Tribolium castaneum: one gene and its partners. The main gene of each other region encodes a partner of the protein of the gene in region 2 in a complex. Links are inferred from orthologs where the notes say so. Each region holds a gene or a part of one and is shown on either strand. Other genes may lie near its edges.

Region 1 (6,064 bases), on a different chromosome or scaffold from region 2:
CCGAAAATCGAACGCACTGAAGATGCCGATCAGGGCCCCTATGCCATTATTTTAGCCCCCACGCGTGAATTGGCCCAACAGATCGAGGAGGAGACGGTGAAGTTTGGCCAACCGTTGGGGATCCGCACTGTGGTGGTTGTGGGCGGTTTAAGTCGCGAGGAGCAAGGTTTTAGGCTGCGAATGGGGTGCGAGATTGTTATTGCAACCCCGGGACGACTTATTGATGTTTTGGAAAATCGCTACTTGGTCCTGAACCAGTGCACGTACATTGTTATGGACGAAGCCGATCGCATGATTGATTTGGGATTTGAGGCAGATGTGCAAAAAATTTTGGAGTACATGCCGGTCACTAACTTGAAACCGGACTCGGAAGAAGCGGAAGATAGTAAAATAATTTTGGCGAATTACAACAGTAAGAAGAAATATCGGCAAACGGTGATGTTTACGGCAACTATGCCACCGGCGGTTGAGCGACTGGCGAGGACGTATTTGAGACGTCCGGCGGTTGTGTACATTGGTTCGATCGGGAAACCGACGGAACGGGTCGAACAAATTGTGCATATTATGACTGAGAACGATAAGAGGAAGAAGTTGATGGAGTATTTGTCCAAAGGGGTCGATCCACCGATTATTATTTTTGTTAATCAGAAGAAAGGGGCCGATGTTTTGGCCAAAGGGTTGGAGAAGTTGGGCTACAATGCGTGTACGCTCCATGGGGGTAAGGGGCAGGAGCAGAGAGAGTACGCACTGGCTAGTCTCAAGTCGGGGGCTAAGGACATTTTGGTGGCCACTGACGTGGCTGGGAGAGGGATTGATATTAAGGATGTTTCCGTTGTTATTAATTACGACATGGCCAAGACTATTGAAGGTAAGATAAGTTTGTCCCAGATTTTTTTTCTTTATGACTAGTGCAAACTGAAGAAAAAAGGAAATCTAATCTGTAATTTGTTTATTTTTTTTCAGATTACACCCATCGTATTGGCCGAACCGGCCGTGCCGGGAAGAGCGGGGTGGCTATCAGTTTTTGCACCAACGACGACTCGGCCCTATTTTACGATTTGAAGCAAATGTTGCTATCGTCACCTGTCTCAACGTGCCCCCCTGAACTAATGAACCACCCTGAATGCCAGATTCGGCCCAATCAGCCGAAACGCCGCCGCGACGAAATGATTTTCGCTTAATTAAAATAAAACTCGATGTTTACTTAGCCTTTATTCTTAAAAACAAAATCTTATTACACTAGTGGTCAATTATTATGAGTTCGTCTATGCCCCAATCCTCGTACGAGTGGTCGGGTAAATAACGCCGGATTATGATGGGGATTTTCCGTTGTTTGAGTTCTTTCATTGCGATTTGAAGCGGGTCTGTCTCTCCGTCTAGTTCCACCATAACTGGGGCACACATGGCGATTTGCAAAGCTCTTGTTCCCAAAACACGAGCTCTTTCGTATTTGGTCATGTATTTGGTTGTTATGCGTTTGTTTTTGGGCACTCCGCCCCCGGCTTGGCCATGAGCGAGGATGTCGATGTTGTCGCCTTCCTCCTCGGGCTGCTCCAGCTCCTCGATGTTGTCGTCATCGACGTCGTCGTCGAAGTCGTCCCCCACGTCATCACCGTCGAATTCTTCGTCATTCATTCTCGATTTCTAGCTAATTGACTAATTTAAAGGCATACACAAACATAGCACAACGTTCAGATGTCAAATGCGTCAAACGTCAAAAGTATTGGTTATTGGAGAGTTGCACGAAAGTGCATCAGTCCGAAACTTGTTATCGGTTCAAACAATACTTTTACTTTAGTGTATTGTTGGTTGCGTCGCAGTTGCGATAAAAACTTTTTTTGATGAAATTTTGATTGTTACGATTTTTTTAAGTTTAGTTAACAATTTGGTGCGAAAAAAATAAAACACATTAAATTCAAGCAACTTTATTGTATAAAATAATTGCATTTGTTCCAGACTTTATAAAATACCGTCTTGTCTATTATAGTGGCGGTCAGCTCGATTTGCGTGTGCGTCAATTTCATTTTTTCATTACCAACACAAAGCTATAAAAATTGTCAAAAACAATGCAAATTTAAACAGCTAAGGGCTATCTAAGGGTGGTATCCTTGAACATTAATTGACATTGACAGTAAATTATAGACGTCGTCGCATCGTTGTCGAAAGTGTGTGTTATCGGTGTTAATCGTAAGTATTTTCTGTTCGTTTATTGTGTTTTGTGATTTGCGTTTCGTTAGGTTTTTGATTCTGCGTTTATTAGTTCTTGTTTTGTGAATCTGTATTTTTTGTAACAACTTCGTAACCTCAAAAAATATTTGATAGTTTGTCACCGCTATGCCCCTGCTGTGTAAACGTAGTGAGAGAAATGTCAGATGACGCACACGCAAATGGAGCTGAGCGCACCATTGCAGTTTTGTCTAGAAATGGTAAAAATAACTGCGATTTATTGCGATGTTTAAATCACAGTGTTTGTCTAGTTAACAAACCATTTTTTGTGGTAGTTTCTAGCGTACGACTGCTTATTGATTAATTGAATAAAACGCAGACGGAGCTCGTCATAAAGCTCAAATAATTAAATAATTGCAAACAAGTTGAGAATTAAAAACCTTAGCCTAGTCATAAGTCGTACAAATTACCCTACTGGGTGTTAAGCGTGTTTGTAATGATAATGATTCATAAAGTACCTAAATCAGGCACTCTAACTACTTTGGTAGTGCGTGTAGATTATCCCTGGAGTGTTTAAGACTAGCTTCAATAAATCTAAAATTGATCAAATCATTAGGCTAAATTGTAAGAACTATTAAACATTTAAAAAATTGGCCCAAGGCCCATCGCTTGGTCCCCAATGGTTAACATGATTTTGTAACAATAAAAGTACATTACATTCGTTGTCCAATCTTAAAATCAGGCACTTGATTATGTATTTATTGAATCGAACAAAACGTGGTGTTCTCTATCACCAATAAATCGCTAAATCAACTAAATGAACTTTTGGCAATTATTCCACAGACACGTAGAACTAACAAAACAAACCCCATTCATAACAAAGACAAAAATATCACGTGCCCTTTTGCGCCCACTTCATATCATCAGCCCGCGGTTTGTAGCCCGTGGTGTGTTCAATCAGCAGCTCTAGGATGCTCCAAAAGCGCAGCTTCTCCAACGGCCAATTGAGCCACCCGGTGGTGATGCAAAAGTAGGTCTCATGCGGGGCCACATGGTGGATGCGGTGGTGGCGCCTCGGCAGAATCACATGGTGCTCCTGCAGCCACACCACCCACGCCGGCAGCCCGAAGTAGGTGTGCGACCACTTGTGTATCTGGAAAGTGGCTCCAATCAGCAAATGAACTCAGATTTATCGGGCGCGTTACCCCAGGTGTGCGTGTTTGCCACGGGCCCTATCATTTTATAAAGTATTATATCGCGAGCTGATCTAAAAGCGCACACACGACCCGAGGAATTAATTCGAATCAATAATTAACTCTACCTGATTGGTCATTGCCACGAAAATCGCCAACAGAAACACGTAGCAATTCCACGTGAACTTCCTCTCGACCCCGTCCGCAGGCAGCGTCAGAAAATCCCAAACCATCCTCGCCAGAAACGGAATGGTCACCATGAAGTTATCACCGTTGGTTTCGATAAAGTCGTGGCGGGTGATGGACGTCGGATCGATGTGGTGTTCGCGGAACGGCCGCAAAAAATTCTACACAAAATTTAAAATATCAAACATTTCGCTCTCCACTCACTTTGCCCAAGATGGGGAGCTCCACCGAGCCCCACGTGTCGGCCGCCCAGTGCACGAGTCCCGAGCCGAAATCCGCCGTCACAATGCCGCAAAACGCCGCCACCAAAATCGTGCTCAAGTTGTCCATACGGACGTGGAATATTATGAAGAAGAAGTTGACCACCATAAGGGTCAAGCAGATTCCCACGCAGATGCATTCCTGAGTCCGCTTCCCTGCAAAAAGGGAGCGGTGTGACTCGGCTAATTACACTTGGGCCCAGTATTAGTGTAAACTAGGAGGAATATTAAAAATAATCGAGTTTAATGGGTCATCGGAATAATATGAAATGTCATCAATGCATAATAAACGAACTTGTGCTAAGTAATATCGACGACAAGATCGATTCTTCCTAAATAAGCACCTATCAGAATAAAACACACTGTCGATTAGACAAACACATCAATAAAACACGAATTAAAGTGGCATTTTTTACGTTTTAACGCTCACTATAGCGTGAAACTACAATGATTCATTTTCGCGAGATATTATGTCATCGAGAGGTGGTTTCCTTTTTTGTACCTTGACGTAATTTCGTAACGGATTTATTACCACTCGAGTGATAATTTAATTTTGCCAAAAACTTACGAATGATAACACGTTTCTGTTCTAAATCCGAATATTTAAACACATTTCTTGAACATGTTACGACTTATTTTATGTAAATTTAGTTAAAGGTGAAGTAGCTTCGTACGTACAGATTGACACGTATCTGCATGATGCTTTGTGTCGTTGCAAATCTTTTATTGTATTGTAATTACACGTAACCGCAAGCTAAGTTAAGCAAAAAGGTTAATCTAAAGCAAACGTTAGTGATGATAACAAGGCCTCACTTTTCAGCATTAATTCCTCTATGGAGACATAATTTAAATTTTCTCATACAACATGTATGAATGTAAAAAACACGACAACTAACTGTACATAACTATATATAACTATTTTTCGTAAAACTGAAATAATTTAATACAACTGCCAACTTCAGCAAAACCTATTACGGTAATCCACAAGGGAAATCTTATTTAATTATAGATTAGCTGGACACAACCGTCAGCAAAAAACAAGTTTTGTGGTAGAAAATTTCAGAATTTATTCTTTTTTAATCATTTCTTACAAAATTTTGGTTTTTGAAAAAAATTAACACCTGTATTTGTGCAGTGACTAATTTTGTGCTACAGATGTTGCTATTTACGGAAAAAACGGAAAGTTAATTACTTAAAATACGATTATTTTTACACACTTGGCATTTTTCATGGTGATTATAGTCGACTGAAATTATCTAGCAGATTAATCACCCTCTAATGACGTATTAAAACACGCCTTTATTTTGCAAACCTTGGTAGTAAAATTTTATTGTACCACTTGAACATAGAATTGAAAAAACCACCACTTGTTTTAGTTCTAATTCTATTTAAGGAAACAATCCCAAATGATTGTTATCAAGGAATGAGTTTCAGTTCAATTATTTTTCCAAATGCGTTGCGATTAAAGGTAATTTGTTAAATTATAGCGATTCTTTTATTTTATTTTGTTAGGATTCTTTAATGAGAAAAATTCTCCACGAACTTGTTACGTTAATAGGGACTAAAGCCAGGTATTAGGGATAATAATACAACCCGGAAGCGCATCAAAAATAGCCAAATTTTTAAATCGGGGAATAAATCATTTTATTGACAATAATCACGTTTTAGTAATTTTGATGTGGGCTGTTGTTTAAGAAAACGTCAGTGTAATAATTTTGATGACCTGTCGAAAGAATGCTAACATCTGCCAAATATTAGCGAATAAAATGTCACTTAACAATTCCAGAAATAGTTCGTTTTTGCGCAATTTTACGTGCTCTAAATAAATAAACATCACATCACTGCAGTGACAAATTGTGTAAAAACTTTTAAGTTTTTTTCACCGATCGATCCTTTGCAAACGCCATTCTCACTCAATATTAGTTCAATTCCAACGTTATTTGTCTCACAACCAGCACATGTGCAATAACATTCTTTCATTAAAGCGTTAATAGATCTAGGACATGAAAGAATTTGAACTATTTTTTAATCTAAAACAAGCAAAATATCGCCATACCAACCGTATCTAAAACACGTAATTATACCTTAATTACGCCAAATTCTCATTAAAAAACAAAAGACAGACGAAAGATAAACCTAGACAAGCACGTGTATTTAAATAAATTTTTCTCACGCTGTAGATAATTATGCAAGAATAATATGATTGCCTTTTTTACGAAACATCATTGATAAAAGTAGGGACAATAAAGATAAACTCAT
Region 2 (8,766 bases):
GCGATTTTTGCACGATCACAGCATAGGGTATTACGCTTGGCCTACGAAAGTCGAAATATACGCACCCCCAAGCGAACAACCCCACATAGACAAAAGGTTCCCAAAACTGAGCGAAGAGGAAAAAGAGATTTACGAGTTTTTCAGCAATGCGGAAAATTTAGACCAATTCATTAAATATTTCTCAATGGAGGAGAAGAAAGGGAAAGACCAGTTCAACGCTTACAAGTTCCTCCTGTTCAAGGTTAGTTGCGTGTATTTGATTTCTGTTTCATAGAACATTTTTAGAACCTGTTCAAACTTTTCGAAGACAAGCTCCTTGACCCCATCATTCCCCACTTGGAGAAGCTCGTGGCTGATAAAAACGAGTCGTCGCAACGTTGCGCTGCTGAGATAATCAGCGGTTTAATCCGCGGTTCGAAGCATTGGAGTTTTGATAAAATCACCAAACTTTGGTCAGTCCTGATCCCGATCCTCGAAACTGCAGTTGTGAATATGTGTAGCGAAACCATGACCGACTGGGGCCTCAGTATGGCGATGGCTTTGGACTCCAGAGACCCCAACCGCTACCATTGGATCTTGGAATACCTGGTCAAAGATCCACTCTCCGACCAAACATCGTTTGTGGCCTGTGGGCGCCTCCACATGCTCCATGCAGCCCTTAACCAACAAACTTGGAGAAATAACGAACTGTCAGTTCGCTTGTTCGACTACTTCAAACAGCACTTGTCGCACCCTTTCCAGAATATCAGGGACAAAATTAGTAGTTGTCTGACGATGATTTTTTCCAAAGATTTGATTTTCCCCGATGATGCTAACGATACGAATTCGGCGGGAATTAAGGCGTTTTTCAAGGAGATAATGCCCACACTTGACAATTTGTACAGTTACACTTTGAGCAAAATCGAAAGTAAGGATAATCCAATGGATACGTCTGAAGTATCAAAAGATATGCAAGGACTGTCGCTCGAAAACGACGAAGTTCGAGAAAATGCCATGAGGTTGTTCAAACTAGGTAAGAATTACGGAGAACTATAACTTAGGAGACGAAATGAGATCACAGAAATCACAGAACTTTCTGAACTCACGGAGTAGTGCAAATTGGTAAACGTTTGAAATTTTTTTAAATATAGTTTACGATAAATTTTTTGCATTATGTTTATATCTTACTATTAAGAATTTAATGCTTTATCTGCCTCTATTTTTTGTGTGGTATTCATTATACAAATCCAAACATTTTTTCAAATTCATTGCTCTACAAACGTAGACGTACAATGGACGTAATGGAACAACTGCGCTCTATAGCGACATTAACGAAACTATCGAGTACGAAAACATTTTATTTATACGTCGTTTCATACCCCTACCTTAAAATATCCGTAGTAAGAATCTAAAAAATATTCTAGAATGAAAACCAAATCTAGCCGGCGCATCCACCAAAAATGATAGCAGTTATGTGACTGTACGATGACTAATCGGCACTGGTTTAATTTTTCTATTTAAGAATATGTTTTTAGGCTTTTAATTGTTATTTGGAAAATCGGAGCCTTGTGTGATTCTGTAATTGTTTCTAATGTTTTGTTTTGTAATGTAATCAGTCAGGATGCAATAATAAAAGGCATGTTTTCAGTTTCAAAATACGTGACATCGAGTGTTGTAAGAATGAACTACTCCACGCTGCCTGAATATTTCGAGATTTTGCCACTGTCGTGTGTGCTTCAAAGCAACGACACCGACGACGAAATCGCCCCAATTTGCTCGAGTTTGCTCGCAGTTTTGGCCTACACCATAACTATTGACAAATACATGCCTTCGGCCCTTGAAGCAATAAGAAAAGTTGCCACTTGTCCGTTCTGGTCGGCTCGTGCGGTTATAACCGAATTCATGTCCGGTTTTGTATTCCACAATATGCCCACGATTATTTCGAAAAAGGAGTGGGTACTAGATATACAACACATGGTGCTAGAACTACTCGAAGATGTTCAACCTGAAGTTAGAGTTAGTGCTAGTCAAGTTTTAAGCGGTCTTTTGCACTGCCAATTTATTCCAAACCCTCAAGAATTATTAGTAATTATTCGGGTTCTTAGTTTATCGTTAAATAATTCGTGAATTCTAGGCGCAATTTAAACAGAAAGCGAAAACTAAATTGAAGAAGAAAAATTTGAACAATTCAAACAGTTTGAATCTTAGTACTTTAAGATTTAGACATGCTGGAGTTTTGGGCTTGTGTGCTTTTATCAATAGCCATCCATACGACGTACCTGACTTTTTACCGGATGTTTTTGGACAATTAGGACCCCATTTGAACGACCCCCAACCCATTCCTGTGAGTCACACTTTCGTCGTTTAAAAAAATAATTAATAATTTTTAGGCAACAATTCGCAAAACCTTGGGAGATTTCAAGCGAACGCATCACGAAAACTGGGAAATCCACAAACTCAAATTTACTGAGGAAGAACTGTTAGTTTTAAGTGATCTCACAGTGCCTCCCAGTTATTACGCCTAGGCAATAATTTTCCGATTCCAGTCAATTTACAATTTAATTTTTTACTAGACAATAGGTGAAGGAAGGTTTAAGGTAGCAAAAATTTACGCGTCAAATGTTTTTTATTTTTAACCTTGTTCATTATATTTTTTGTGGTTTGATAAAAGTATATTAAGTGAAATGTTTATACATGACTTAATTCATCTAATAAAGCAAGACATTTGTCTTTTAATATTTTAACAGCTTCCATGAATATCACATCAGGTGGTAAAGCCCCCACAGATTCGACCGTAACTAAATTACAATTAATAAAAACTGAAAAAGTAAATAAAAAAAAACTTACAAATGAAATGATCCTGAATTTTGGTCATCGCTACTGCGTCCTTGAGGTCTTCATAACGGAAAACATTCCGACTTCCTGTATCATACCTCGCATTAGCTACAACAGCGTATTTGCGGCCTTTTTCATGTCGGATTGAAATCACACCGGGAGAGAAACATTTTTGGAGTCTCTCAGCTGCTTCACCTTCCACTTCTCGTAATAATTTTATGTCGGGAAGAAGGCGATAAAATGCGGTTGCGACAGGAGAAAATTTCGCATGGTCTCGCCCGTTGCTCTTGACTGCTAATAATTTTAAATCTAACTCATGGCCTGGCCTCATTTTGGCAATGAGAATGTCAGGGTGGATGGGGCCCACGTCACTAAACCGCTCCTTCTGTTTACCAATGGGCACCCATTTGATGTGTTTTGAATACACTAAAATTATTGCAATTTTTATTGTTTCTCAAACGGGGTAATTACCATTATTGTTTTTGTACATATCTTCAGCTCGCAGTGAGTCTTTACTGCTGTCTTTATTATTGGTACATTTAATTTTTAACGCAAACTCTAGAGTATCCTGTTCGGTACCTTCAGCAGTTGCTGTAAAAATATTGTAACGTTTGGAACGGCAACATTACAAGACTTACGATCAGTTTTCATTTCAAATAATCGGGGGTCGGCCTTTAGCGGTATCAGGCCTAAACGATGGGCCAAAACTTCGTCTTGGATTATAGACGTGTTATTAAGAATGTGAACCTTTTCAATGGCCATTGTGGGGACATCACTCAACATTAACCTTCTGAAAGTGTTTGCTAGGAACGGGTGAATCCCTATCAAGTCAAATTCGAGTTCATTCTCTTCACTTCGCACAATCACCACCCTAAATCTCTTCTTAAAGGTTTTCAAGTCCCATTTCTCGTCCAAAACAGTTGGTTCCGAGGGCAAATTCTTCAAAGGATGTTTGAAGGAATTTAATACAAAATAATAAAGGACATACCTGCGTCACTTTATATTCTCCTAAAATCACTCGAGGCTTTTCGTCATTCAGAATATTATCCATTTTAAACTTGTTTCAAAAACTTGGATAACCTCAAACAACGCACGTTTTTCGTAAAAATGACTACCAACCTTACCGTCCTTACCACCCAAAAGCCACTTAAAATGTCAGCTTTTTAGGTTATGTTTTGTGAAAAATATAAACAATTTTTGAAAAATATGACGAAACCCGAATGCTCCAAACAGGAAGCTTCAAACACGAAAAGCAAGGCTGAAAAAGACTCACAAATAAGCACACCTGAAACGGCTAAGGCTCTGTTTGCCGATTTTGTGCCAGAAGAGTCAGACAGCGAAGAAGAAAATGAGAAACAAGACGACAAAAAAGACGAAAATCTTGAACCAGCGTCAAAGAAATCACGAGACAGTAACTCGAAGGTAAGTCACCAGTACACCAAATGAAAAACCAACCACCTTCCCGCAGAAATACATACCAAAGTACAAAAAAGAATGGGAGAATAAACCCGAATTGAAAGCATGGTTATCAGAGAGCATACATGGAAATACGTATTTCTACTGCAAATTCTGTAAAAAGGATTACAGATGCGGGATTTCCGACATTCACAAACACATGTCGTCAAAGAAACATGCCCTCAAAGCGGCAATGCCTGCATTCAAGGCACAGAAATTTAAATTTCGGGGGCTTTTGTGCCCCGTCTTTACCCCATTTACTAACTTAAAAAGAGTGACACCTGATGTAAACCTTAAGGCTATACCAAAATACGCAAATTTTTTAAAAGCTTGCAATATTAAAGGAATTTTAAGTATTTCGCAACTCTAGAAAATGAATTAAATTAAATGGTCAATTTTAGTTAATGACATAACCGGGGAAGGAATGTCCTTAACCATTCATGAAAGAATAGATTTGGCGGACGCGTGGGCTGACGCTTGTGAAAAAACAAATCAGTTTTTGATGGCACAAATCGGGGGAGCCCCCCTCAAAGACGTTATAGAAATGGTAGTTTAAACATTTGTTAAAACTGTTAATATTTTTCATTTGTAGGCAAAACACGCCGCTAAGAGGGACATCGGCGCTGTTGTAATCCTCCCCGACCTTTACAACAAACCAAAAAACCACCTAGACCTAATCAAGTACATAAAATTAATATCAGAATTTACAAAAAACGTCCCCATTCTCTATCACCACAATCCCAAGTTTACGCAAGTTGAAAGTAAGCGTTTCGAACGATGAACAAGACACGAAAAAATTCATTTTTAGTTGATATTACGTCGTTTCTGCTGGATATAACGGGAGAAGTGGATTCGTTTGTAGGCGTCATTTATAGCACGAATGATATACAACAGAGCACCGCTGCTATGGCGGTAAATAGGGAAAAGTTTACCGTTTTTATGGGCACCGACGAAGTAGGGGCTTTATGGCCATATCTCCCACTTAATTTCCACTTTTAGGCAATTTTGGGGGCTGCTGCGAGCGGTTTTACGTGTATTATGGGCACAAGTCTGAACTTTTTACCAAAACTGGTTGAATCCATTTGTGTGGCTGTGCGAGAAGGGGAGATAAAAAGCGCCCAAACGTCACAGAATTTACTCAACAGGACGATAGATGTGATTGCGAAACAAGGTAAAAGAATAGTCCGCTTAACGTGGTTTAATATGTTGTTTAGGCGACTACATAGCGGCCTCAAAGGCTGCAACTGACATCATTACTAGCACTTGCGGCACAACCACCAGAGAGCCTTTGCAGACGTTATGGGAAGGCACGACAAAGAAACTCCAATGCAAATTGCGCGAACTTGGTGTTATGTAAGTCATTTTTATATTTTTACACATTCATTTATAAAACAATAAATTACAAGACTCTACTCGCTTTATTATTCATAAAAACGCAATTAAAATGAAACATCCTGGATATTTCCGTCATTTTATTTACTTAGTGTAATCGCTAAACCTAGAGGGCGATAATTCTTAAACAATTTGTGAAATGTAAATATACAAACGTACAAAATCTAGTCTCCTTTAATATCTTTTTTGCAACGAAACTTGATATACAATTTTTTGTAAACGCCCAACAAAGAATTTTTCAATAATACTTTGGACAAGAAAAACGAAAATAATTTATGTACACAAATAAAACGGACTGATTTCCATCGGGTTGTTCGATTTATCTACTATTAAAAAATGAATAAAGACATAACTAGTTTTTAAAAAATATAAATGAATCGCAATCACAACAAAGAATCCTTGAAACAATACCCTTAATGGCCGTTGAAAACAGTAATTGACATATCATTTTTATGAGAAGGTCTGCAACCGCCATCAAGAATACAATCGTCTTTAATTTAATGTGCACACGTATAAATATACCTATAAATTATCTAAAAAAATACAACGGTAAAAAAAATAATTACCCTTAATCACATAAGTATTATCAAGGTCGCTGACATACCATCCGGTGTTTTGTGAGGGAAAACGGGGCCTTCAAACCGAATCATAAATAACAAAGTATATCATTCACTTGTGCATTTCTCAACGAAAAGTTGGTCCCTTTCGCCTGATTTAAAATTGAACGACTTCGATTAAGTCACAAAACACCGAACGACATGTCGTGCCGACTATTTACACAACACACCACAACCTGATGACCTCTGGTACCAAACGAAGCCTACCACCCTTGAGAAACGACAAGAATCGACTCTCCCTTTAAGGCTGTGATGTGAACGATTAGTATATAAGGGCGTTTAAACTCCGCCGATTGGTCAGAGTAGGGTGCATCGAGACAGCCAATTCGTTGGCTTTCGTTGTGGTTCTGTGGCTTTCAGCTGGTGGCCGCCTTTCGGGGGATTGCTCGCCTCCTAGTCACACAACGGACAAAAATAAAACCGAGAAACAAATAAAAGTAAAGATGAACAGTTAAAGGTGTCTCAAATTCAGTTTTAAGGCTCAAATGAATTCGAATGCAAAAGTAGTACTTTAAAAATATTTCCTCGATGTTATTACATCTTGTTACTAATTAAACGGGCGCTCATAAAATCTGTTAAAAGTAAACAAGTAAACTTTATGTTAGTTTAAGGAATAAGGAATTTTGAAGATGGAAGTGGATATAAACATTAATTTTTTTATTCATTTTATTTCACAAAACATTCCAACATTTCTAGATTAAAAGACTCAAAGGGATCATTATCACCAGATATCAAGATAATTACATAACAAAGTACTTTGGAATGGAAGTAATAATAGCTTTAATGCTCATAAATTTAGATAAGTGGTTTTAACTGATAAAAAATCAATTTGAACAACGAAATTTACACGGAATCACTTATTTTTTAGAAAATTTTTGATCATGAACAACGATTTCTATTTTGAAAACGCCTATCAGAACTTTAGTCTAACTTCAGTTAATGTTCTAGATTTTTTACAGTTAATTGTGCATTAAGAGTTAAGAATTAAAAAACAATAACTTTAATATATTAGTTATTGACACGTATCCATAATTTAATACTTCCACATGCATATCGAGTATCTCATTACGAAGGTTAAATTAATGAAGTATTGATGACTTTTTATGAAACAAGTGCAAAAAAAAACAAATACGTAAGCATTTCAAAAAGAATAATTTATTTGCATAATATTCAGATAGTAAAGAAATAATTAAAACATGTTTTTTTTTCTAAGAATGCACAAACATTAATACATAATTATCATGTAAATTTTTGTGTGGGCCATAAATAATGGGTCAGGTTTGTTCGTGTAATATTTTGTTTTTGATGTAGGAACTGCCACCTACGTTAGCATCGGATTCAACAGTTTGTTTTTTATAATAGTATTTGCAAATTTATGGTTATTTTATTTTTTAATTTAACAAAATCCAAATTTGATTTTCTGTACTGTACTACGGGCCAAAAAATAAATACTTTATGAATACAACTTTTGTTTTAATGTCGAGTACGACTTCATGACTCCCCTTCTAGTTTTATAAATACTGAAATGTGACTTTGTGAGGTAGGCAGTTCTGACAATTTGGTTAAAAACTGCAGCGGACATTATTGTACAATTATTATTTCTCTATTGATCTTTGTTCTTTATTATCTTTTACATATTGAGTCTGTGTAAAGATGAGTAACTGAATATATTATTGAATAGTATTCCAGAGGACATACAATCTGAATTTTAATACTACAGGCTGTCTCAAAATTGGCGAATTTCGAGTTCAGAGCTTAATTGAGGATCCCTCCAGTAGTCCAAATATATAAAAAAAAAGATACATTGGTTTGAAGGTACATTTCAGATGCATTTTGTACTGGGTTTTCTTCCAATGCTGGCTAAAAATTTCAGTGTTTATTATTGTTTATTGTGTACACAAGTATGGAGAAAAATAATGTAAAACAATTTCTAAAAAAAAATCGTTTTATTTTGTAAAAAATCTTGAATTTTTGTAATTTGCCGTTCATTTTTTAAGAAAAATGACAAAAATTCAAGATTTTTTTTACTCCAAAGTATGGCAATTTTTTTCAGAAATTGTTTCACATTGTTATTCTTCACAGTCATCTACACCATAAGTAACAATAAATACTGATACTTTTAGTCTGCATTTGAAGAAAACGCTATTCAAAGAGTGGTCTTCAAACTAATGTATTTTTGAGGGGAAGCCCCCAATCTTATATTTTTTTTTTATATTTGGACTACTGAAGTGATTCTGTACAATACTCTGAATTCGGAATTGGCCAATTTTACAGGTATACAAATCATAGCTCCTTGACATTTTCGAAGATTCTTTTTTTAATACAACAAACTTTGTCTTATTAGTCTTATTACAGTACATAGTTGAACAAATAATCGAAAAAAAGTTTGTCATTACACTGTCTTTATTTCAAATGTGCAATAACGAAAATACGAATTTTTTAAAATATGAGAACGTAAATAAATGTAGCACAAATCAATAAATCAAAC
Region 3 (7,801 bases), on a different chromosome or scaffold from region 2:
GTTGGATAAATTGTGAGTTTTTCGCCACTTTCAGGAAAATGTATTTTGCTACTGGCGATTTTCAGACCTGAATTGAAGCCAATAGAAAAGGAAACTGCTGTAGTTTTGAAATTCCCAGATACCGAACCTCTCTCACCCCCCATTTTGCAACTTAACGAAGTTTCGTTTGGTTACAACAAAGATAGACTCATATTTACCAACGTTAATCTAGGGGCTACCATGGATTCCAGGATATGTATTGTAAGATTTTTCAAAAAATGCCTTGGTAATTTGTAATCGTAATTTTGAAAAAATGCTTGTTGTATGTTAGGTCGGTGACAACGGTGCTGGTAAAACCACCCTCCTCAAAATCATCATGGGCCTCCTGTCCCCATCTGCGGGCATGCTCCACGTCCATCGAAACCTAAAATTCGGCTACTTCAGCCAGCACCACGTGGACCAACTCGACATGAACGTCAACTCGGTCGAGCTCCTCCAAAGCACATATCCCGGTACTTCCCCAATTTCTAACTCAACAATTTAATAATCCCACAATTTAGGAAAACCAATCGAGGAATATAGACGCCAGCTTGGGAGTTTTGGCGTCTCGGGCGACCTCGCCCTCCAAACCGTCGCCAGTTTATCAGGGGGGCAAAAATCTCGAGTCGCTTTTGCCCGAATGTGCATGGGTAACCCAAATTTCCTCGTACTTGACGAACCCACCAATCATTTAGATATCGAAACAATTGAAGCTTTAGGGAATGCGATAGTCAAATTCACCGTAAGTTAACGCTTTTACCACTTTTGGGTGATCACATTACCACCATACACTTTTTTATTTTTTTACCTCCCTTGTGCTTAATTTTTTCTAGGGCGGTGTGATACTTGTGTCGCACGACGAGCGGCTTATTCGCAAAGTGTGCAAGGAGTTGTGGGTTTGTGGTAATGGCTCTGTGCGAAGTATAGAAGGTTTTGATGAGTACAGACGACTTGTCGAACAGGAACTCGAAAGTCAGTCTAAATAACGAGTTTACTTTTTAATAGAGAAATTTGTATAAATGTGCCTCCTTTGTGGAAAAACTATTTATGATTTTTTGTTATATTTATAATATATTCATGTTTATAACGGTATTAAAATATAGGTCATATTTTGAGAAACTTTATTTTCCTATCAAATTAATAAATAACATCTTGCATAAATCAGTATCACATTAGCCCTTAAATTTAAACCCTGGCGAAGTCCCGTATGAGAATTTCTGCGTTTTTGAGTTAAAGTCATTCTCGAGGAAATCGTCAACGTCCCCAATTTCCCTCATTTCTGAATCGTTTACCTCAAAACTCACCTCCTTGTAGTCCCGATAAAACGGGTGCACTTTCGCACTCGACCTGCAATTAAAACAGTCAGGGGAATCCCCCAAAAAACGGTGCAACGAACCTTGATAAAACAAAAGGATCAAACGGGTAACACGCCTCTAGGACGTTACTTGAAACTGTCACAAAACCTTTCTCGTCTCTATAAACAGTCGGTAAAGTGTTCCTCGAATTGTGTTCAATGATTGAGTAACAATAGGCTAGTTGGTACTTTCGGGTAATAGCAGCGAAATTTTGCACGACTGCAGGTTGGCAAACCCGCAACGGGTTTAACCGACTGGTTACGATTTTCGCCAAGTTCAGACTCTCCAAAAATACGACATCTGTAATCAAAGTTGTGACAATGTTCGAGTAAAAAAATCATTACTTTTTTTTGTGTTGACTAAATCCTTGTGCCGGAACGAAATCACATAAAAGAGGGCTTGACACACTGTGTAGAAGACAGAGTGGAGCCTTAGGTCCGAATTGACGCACTCTAGGCCGTCCTGAGTGGCGATATACGAGTGGATCCATTCGGCCATTTGTTGCAAAGTCCCCTTCAACATGCTGCAATTTTCCATTAAACTGGGGCATAAAAAATTGAAAAAATCTTACGTAAGGGGGACGAAAGTGGCTCTCGCTATAAAACTGACAATATAATTAACCGCCGCTTGTCTAATCACCGACGCGACGTTCGGATTGCACACCTTCTTCCACAAGTAATTAAAAAACGCCTCCGTTAACGTCGTTTTAAAGGAACACAGCACAAACATAACAAACTGGACGTGATGAGTATTGTAAGTTGGCAGGATCGACTGATCAAAGACCGTCAAAATATCCTGGTATAAAGACTTGGTTTTGCCCCAATTCAAGTCATTAGTGCCCGGCTCATGGCACTCGGAGTAAATGTAATTGAACACTTTATCCAGGCAAACGTCCAAAGTGTGTGCCATTGAATGGACGCAGTCCAGATTTATCGTAGTGTTTGTTTTGCTCTCGTCCATCATGAAAATTTCCTCCTCTTCAAGTTTCGCGATTTCCTCGCGGGGCGCACTCACGTCCATGATGATCAGTTTTGAGAAAATTAAGTGGAGGATGTTGGGTCTGAGAGTGGGCTGGTAGCAGATGACCCAGAGGAGGTTCTGGATGTAGTATTCGTGGATGTGGGTCGATTTGTTCATGTAAGGGAAGTGGTCGATCAGGGCGTGGATTAGCAATTCGTTGCACCTGAAATGCCCATTAGCACAGATTTAATTTATAAACTATTTTATAGAGAAAATTGCTTATTACTCTAGATAATTACATCCGGAAAGTACCTGAGACTTGAAAAATTACTTACAAAGGGACTGTTCTTAGAAGTTCACAGAGGAGGGAGTGGACGTGTTGGCACTTCAGAATATCCGTTTTACTGGGGGTTCCATTTTCCCATTCAGGGTCTGTTAGAGCTAAATAATTCACTGGTAATTAACTGGTGATTAGTTACTTTACCAAACTTACGGGGAAAAAACAATGTGACTAATTTATTTATCACAAAATCTGCGTGATAGTTATGTGCAGCGACTAAGTTCGCAATAAATGACTGATACTCCTTAACTACATTTTCGTTTCTTTCGATCCAGTCAACTGAAAGGAGTGCTTCTACAAAAAGACGTAACTCCTGCTTCATTATTGAAATACACTCAGTCGCTTCCTTCAACAGTGAGGAAATATCGTCATCAAACAGTTCGGCATCGCGAATTAGGCACACTAAATTTTCATAATCCTTTGCATTTCCGTGTTTGATGTAGTCCTTCAATATGTGGCGCACTTTTTTAGAGTGTGGTAAAATAAATCGGACTTTAGTGGGTGTGTTCACTTTCAAGGAGCGGTTTAATGTCGATTTGAGACTTGGGGTTTTCTTCAGGATCGAGGAAGGGGTCGTTGACTTCGTGGGGGCCGAGAATAAAGACATAATGATCTGAAATTTGTTTGTTTTTTCTGAAAAAATGATAAATATGGCACTTACATAAATTAAAGCAACGGTTCAGTCACAGTCAATCAATAAAAACAGTATTTCACAATGTTATTTAAATCACATCTTTTACAGGTTAGGAGAAAAACGTGTGGTTTGACGTCTGCGTCTAGGGTTATTTGTTGTGGCTTTTCGAAGTTGCTTGGTTGGCAAGGCTACTATTTAAATTTTGAGCCGGGCTAATTTATTAAAATAAATTAAAAGTAAAATCAGTACAAGATGTTAATATCACCTATTCAAAAGCATTTCACGAACCTACTGAAATAAAAAACAGTGAAATTGGAACATTGTACCAGTAAATTCGTTGAAAATATTATAGATTTTAATGTAGAAACTTTTCTAAAAATAAATTATTGAAAACTAACCCTTTAATCCGGGTTGTTTTCTCTTTTCCCCTTAAAAATCCCTTTCAATAGCACACACTAACCGCGATCAGCACGCACTAGTCAACGAATTTGGAACTTTTAATCCGCAAAAATTCTTTCACAAAACAGTAAGTCATAAAGTGAGTAAAATTAAACGACACGGCAACAAGTACGACACCAACAAAAAATATAATCTGTGAGGTAACTTATTGTTACAAGATGGGAACAAGGAGGTTTGTCTAATGTATTGATTTTTGTCATTTAACGTTTTTTTTGATCTGAAAAACACAAGGAGGCACATTTTTAAGGTCCAACCCGACAACCACAGAAGTTCATCTCTTAAGCAAATAATTTCAGCCAAACATTTTAGTGAAATCTTCACAGGATTCACAATTAAAACAAATCCACTTTGTAAGAACAAACTTACTCTCGAAAACTAAAAGAATTCGATTATTTTTAACTCAGCATACTTAAGCAGGTATTAATTTTTTTTTGAATAAGATTCTTTACATGATATAGGGGCAGAGCCGGATCGAGGGCACTTGCCTCAGATGATCTTTGGGAAAGGGAAAAAAACAACAGAAATAATCACCTCTGATTTCTCTTTTCCAGCAGTTATGGAACAATGTAAAAAACCTTGATGGTTAGTACTTTCCTGTTTAAAAAAGTGCTGTTTAAATGTTAACAGCACGCGCTGTGTGTAACCAATATTGTCAAAAAGACTCTGAAGAACGAATTTATAAAGGAAAAATAATTGAATGGTAGTTTCAAATTAATATCATAATTTATTACGTCTACATTTTATAAATGAGTAAAAAAACTCTTTAACAACAACAAGGACGCTACTTAATACTAATGAGCGAGTATTATATGTCGTCATTTGTAATTAGAGTAGGAGAGTTTCCTCCGAATAGTTGGTAGACTCAAGTCTTAACCATTCTTTCAATATCAGTTTCAGTAGGTACTCTAATTGTAATGAATTCAAATGATCACTTGGTACACAACCGTCCTTACGTCTAATGATATGTGAATGAACAAATAACTTAAGATTATTACTTAAAATAATACTGTTGTGTCTACACATCTACACACCCAATCACACTCTTAACTAACCCCATTGTACTTAATCTCTTTGTCATTTATCCTAAACCCATTAACAAACTCTTGTTTGTCAATAAAAACCTCATCGGGCTCATCTGGCAGCATCGTCGTGTCCTCAACCAGCGTGTCCTCCTCATCCGAATCCGCCACAAGAATGGGCGTCGCCCCGTCGCACAAATTCGACCGACTCAAAGTCCTCTGGTACATCTCCTTCGAAATGCTCCTGGTGAACGAGAACCGCTTCGACTTCTGTCTCGTGAGCGGCGGCCGCTCCTTGGCCCCCGTCGCCAGCGTTTCAACAGCGAACTCCTTGATCACCTCCCACGCATAATCAACGTCCTCCTCTTTGGCATGCTCCGCGTCCACACAGAACCGGATAATGTACTTGTTCCGGACCACCGACGGTGTCATGTGAATCTTCCCAGAGGCGTTGATCATCGCTAGCAGCTTCTGGTTGGCGGCATCGCACGCCATCAACCGGAAACACACAAGGCCCAGCCTCACGTCATTCACGACCTCGAACCGGGTGTCCTGCAGGACCAACTGTTCGAAGTGTTTGGCCAGTTTGATGTGGTTCCGGATGTAGGCCCGGAGGCCGCTTAAGCCGTACTTCCGGATGACGAACCACAGTTTCAAGGAGCGGAACCGCCGGCTTAGGGGAATCCCCCAGTGCCTGTAGTCGATGGACTCGTCAGCGTTGGCGTGCTGCAGGTACAGGGGGTCCACCACGAGGGCGTGCGTTAGTCGAATCCGGTCCCTGACCCACAAGCAGGAACAGTCGAAATTAACCAAAAGCCACTTGTTCGGATTCGTGTTAAAACTATCAGCGTAGTCGATCCCATTGAGTAAATACTTCAATTCGGGACAAATAAACCCGTTTCCGGCGTAGGCCGCGTCCACGTGCAACCAACACCGCTTCTGTTCCTTGCAAACCGGCCCGATCTCCTCCAGATTGTCGAAGGAGCAGGAGGCAGTCGAGCCCAAAATCGCCGAAACGAAAAACGGGAACAAACCCTTCTCCTTGTCCTTCTCCATCTCCTCCCGGAGTTTATCGCCCCGTAAGCTCCCGTTTTCGTCAGGATCCAGGATTCGCAGCTTGACTAGGAGGATTTTCGCAGCTTTTTCCACGCAGGAGTGGGCCTCTTTGGAGCAATAGCCGACTAGTTTCGGGAGGAAGGCGCTGTCCTCCATTTGGGGGTTTTCCGTTTTGAGGTATTTGATGGCCTGGTTGCGGGCTGCCAGCATGGAGACTAGGACGCACTCGCTGGCGGAGGTCTGGATGACGCCGCCGCCGGTGCTGCCCTCCGAGGAGGTGATGAAGTCGGAGGGGAGGCCGATGGCTTTGCCGAACCAGTCCATGACGATGGTCTCCAGCTCCGTGCAGGCGGGACTAGCGGCCTGGAATAAAGCGAAATAGTCGTTTACCAAAGGAAATGTCAAATAAACGGCAATAAAACAATAATAAAGCAACAGTAAAGATCTCAACGGAAAATATTAAAATTGCCATAAATGTTTTAATGTACAAATAAATGATACTTCAAAGAAATGCATAAAGACACAGTTACAATAAGATCGCAGATTTTTCTACATTTTTTTTTAATTTTAACTATAGAACATACTCACCAATTCTGTAAAAAAGCAGACTGAACGAAATAAGACAAAATAACTTATTTTTCTTATTTTTGCATAAGTAGAGCTATTTTTTGTTCAAACTAGAAGCGTAAAGGAAACTATTGCAAAAAAACATAGTGAGAACTTGTTTTGTGATTTTCTGTAACGAGAATAAATCTTTGAAATGAGAAAATTATTTTATTTATAATAATTTTTTTTTATTCTGCAAAATCCGGCACTAATCTAAATAATGAAAAGTGAGTATTTACTAAAAATCAAATGGTTTTAAAATAAGAGAAATTTTATCGTCTAGAGAAATATGGTTCATATAATTGTCAATCAAAATAAATAAAAAAAAATTCAATCGACATATGGAGAATTGTATAGTACACCGACGATAAAATGCACCATTATCTTCCCAAGCGTTTCAACCTGGAGGCGTAGGCCGCTGCCGAAGATACGCCTTGTGTAATAAATAACTATTACATTAGTTTATAGTATATCTGTGGCCTCAGATTTTTTTGTTGTTAAGAAATTTTTGGACGCAGATTTCAAAACTGCAAGCAGATTTTTTCTATCAGCTCTACTTTTTGAAACATTTTTAAAAAAAGGACGTAACTTTTACTCATTTACTTCCTCGTTGTCTCCGGTTTTATTTGGTGATGTTTAGTAATTGTTGAACTAAAGTGATGTATAAACTTTCATTAAAATTAATTAAATTCAAGACTGAAGATTCTAGTTTTTTACAATAGAGGTATAATAAAAAACACACTTCTTGGTAGTCAATAATATTTGCTATCCCATGTTTGATTTACAAGCAAAATTTTAGTTTAATTTTGCCAGTGTTTGTTTATAATTGCACGTGGTATGAAGTGCAACTTCTGATTGGCTGTTTTTTCCAACAAAGTAAACAATAAAAGAACAAACAAAAAGTCATTCAGCCATCTCATGATGTAATTTTTCGTCGTGTTTTGCAACATTGCCGGAATTGAATTTTTCAATCATGGCAATTAGACTGATGTTAGCGTGAGGCTGTGTCATTTTAATTCAATCTGAAGGCGATAATAATGAGCGAAATTCAAGTTTTATTTTCGTCCATCTCAATTCCCGAGAGTAATTTAATTTTAGACAGGTATCGTGTCAATTGCTCGAATTGATGCGACCAAATTAAAATAATTGACGTCAATGAGTGAAAGTTGTCGAAGGATTTCATGAAGCCCCCCAAGATCGGAAAAGCCTTAGCGTGCGTAGGCAGATACGTGTTATGCCAGTGGAAAAATATAAACAAAGTGGAAAACGCGCCGTGTATTGATAGCGAAAATCACGAGTGTTTATTTAAAAATCATGCTAAAAATAATTAACTTTTGATGAATCACAGCGACCC

The links. The genes of interacting proteins can lie anywhere in the genome.
Region 1: Polr1C (region 2) and Polr2F share a complex: the UniProt entries of both Homo sapiens proteins name them as parts of the pol I pre-initiation complex. The link is inferred for Tribolium castaneum from reciprocal best matches to the Homo sapiens genes POLR1C and POLR2F.
Region 3: Polr1C (region 2) and Tif-IA share a complex: the UniProt entries of both Homo sapiens proteins name them as parts of the pol I pre-initiation complex. The link is inferred for Tribolium castaneum from reciprocal best matches to the Homo sapiens genes POLR1C and RRN3.

What each region holds. Positions count from the first base shown.
Region 1 is NC_087398.1:1,178,869-1,184,932, reverse strand, and holds Polr2F (DNA-directed RNA polymerases I, II, and III subunit RPABC2), read right to left. Parts: upstream 1,636-6,064; coding exon 1,240-1,635; 3' UTR 1,194-1,239; downstream 1-1,193. Other genes in the region: probable ATP-dependent RNA helicase DDX23, read left to right, coding at 1-868, 964-1,181; Kua (plasmanylethanolamine desaturase 1), read right to left, coding at 3,059-3,319, 3,488-3,706, 3,750-3,961. UniProt on the Homo sapiens protein: DNA-dependent RNA polymerase catalyzes the transcription of DNA into RNA using the four ribonucleoside triphosphates as substrates.
Region 2 is NC_087396.1:18,337,602-18,346,367, reverse strand, and holds Polr1C (DNA-directed RNA polymerases I and III subunit RPAC1), read right to left. Parts: upstream 3,978-8,766; 5' UTR 3,866-3,977; coding exon 3,803-3,865; intron 3,754-3,802; coding exon 3,453-3,753; intron 3,406-3,452; coding exon 3,286-3,405; intron 3,241-3,285; coding exon 2,827-3,240; intron 2,778-2,826; coding exon 2,668-2,777; 3' UTR 2,587-2,667; downstream 1-2,586. Other genes in the region: proteasome activator complex subunit 4, read left to right, coding at 1-241, 286-1,012, 1,628-2,064, 2,114-2,323, 2,370-2,504; N-acetylneuraminate lyase A, read left to right, coding at 3,985-4,236, 4,283-4,622, 4,671-4,816, 4,862-5,030, 5,078-5,223, 5,269-5,440, 5,484-5,626; Rab8 (ras-related protein Rab-8A), read right to left, coding at 6,576-6,671. UniProt on the Homo sapiens protein: DNA-dependent RNA polymerase catalyzes the transcription of DNA into RNA using the four ribonucleoside triphosphates as substrates.
Region 3 is NC_087395.1:22,073,383-22,081,183, reverse strand, and holds Tif-IA (RNA polymerase I-specific transcription initiation factor RRN3), read right to left. Parts: upstream 3,494-7,801; 5' UTR 3,335-3,493; intron 3,287-3,334; 5' UTR 3,281-3,286; coding exon 2,827-3,280; intron 2,775-2,826; coding exon 2,669-2,774; intron 2,557-2,668; coding exon 1,945-2,556; intron 1,897-1,944; coding exon 1,718-1,896; intron 1,674-1,717; coding exon 1,415-1,673; intron 1,366-1,414; coding exon 1,191-1,365; 3' UTR 1,123-1,190; downstream 1-1,122. Other genes in the region: ATP-binding cassette sub-family F member 3, read left to right, coding at 1-12, 66-240, 311-491, 540-760, 852-1,004; tyrosine decarboxylase, read right to left, coding at 4,810-6,204. UniProt on the Homo sapiens protein: Required for efficient transcription initiation by RNA polymerase I (Pol I). Required for the formation of the competent pre-initiation complex (PIC).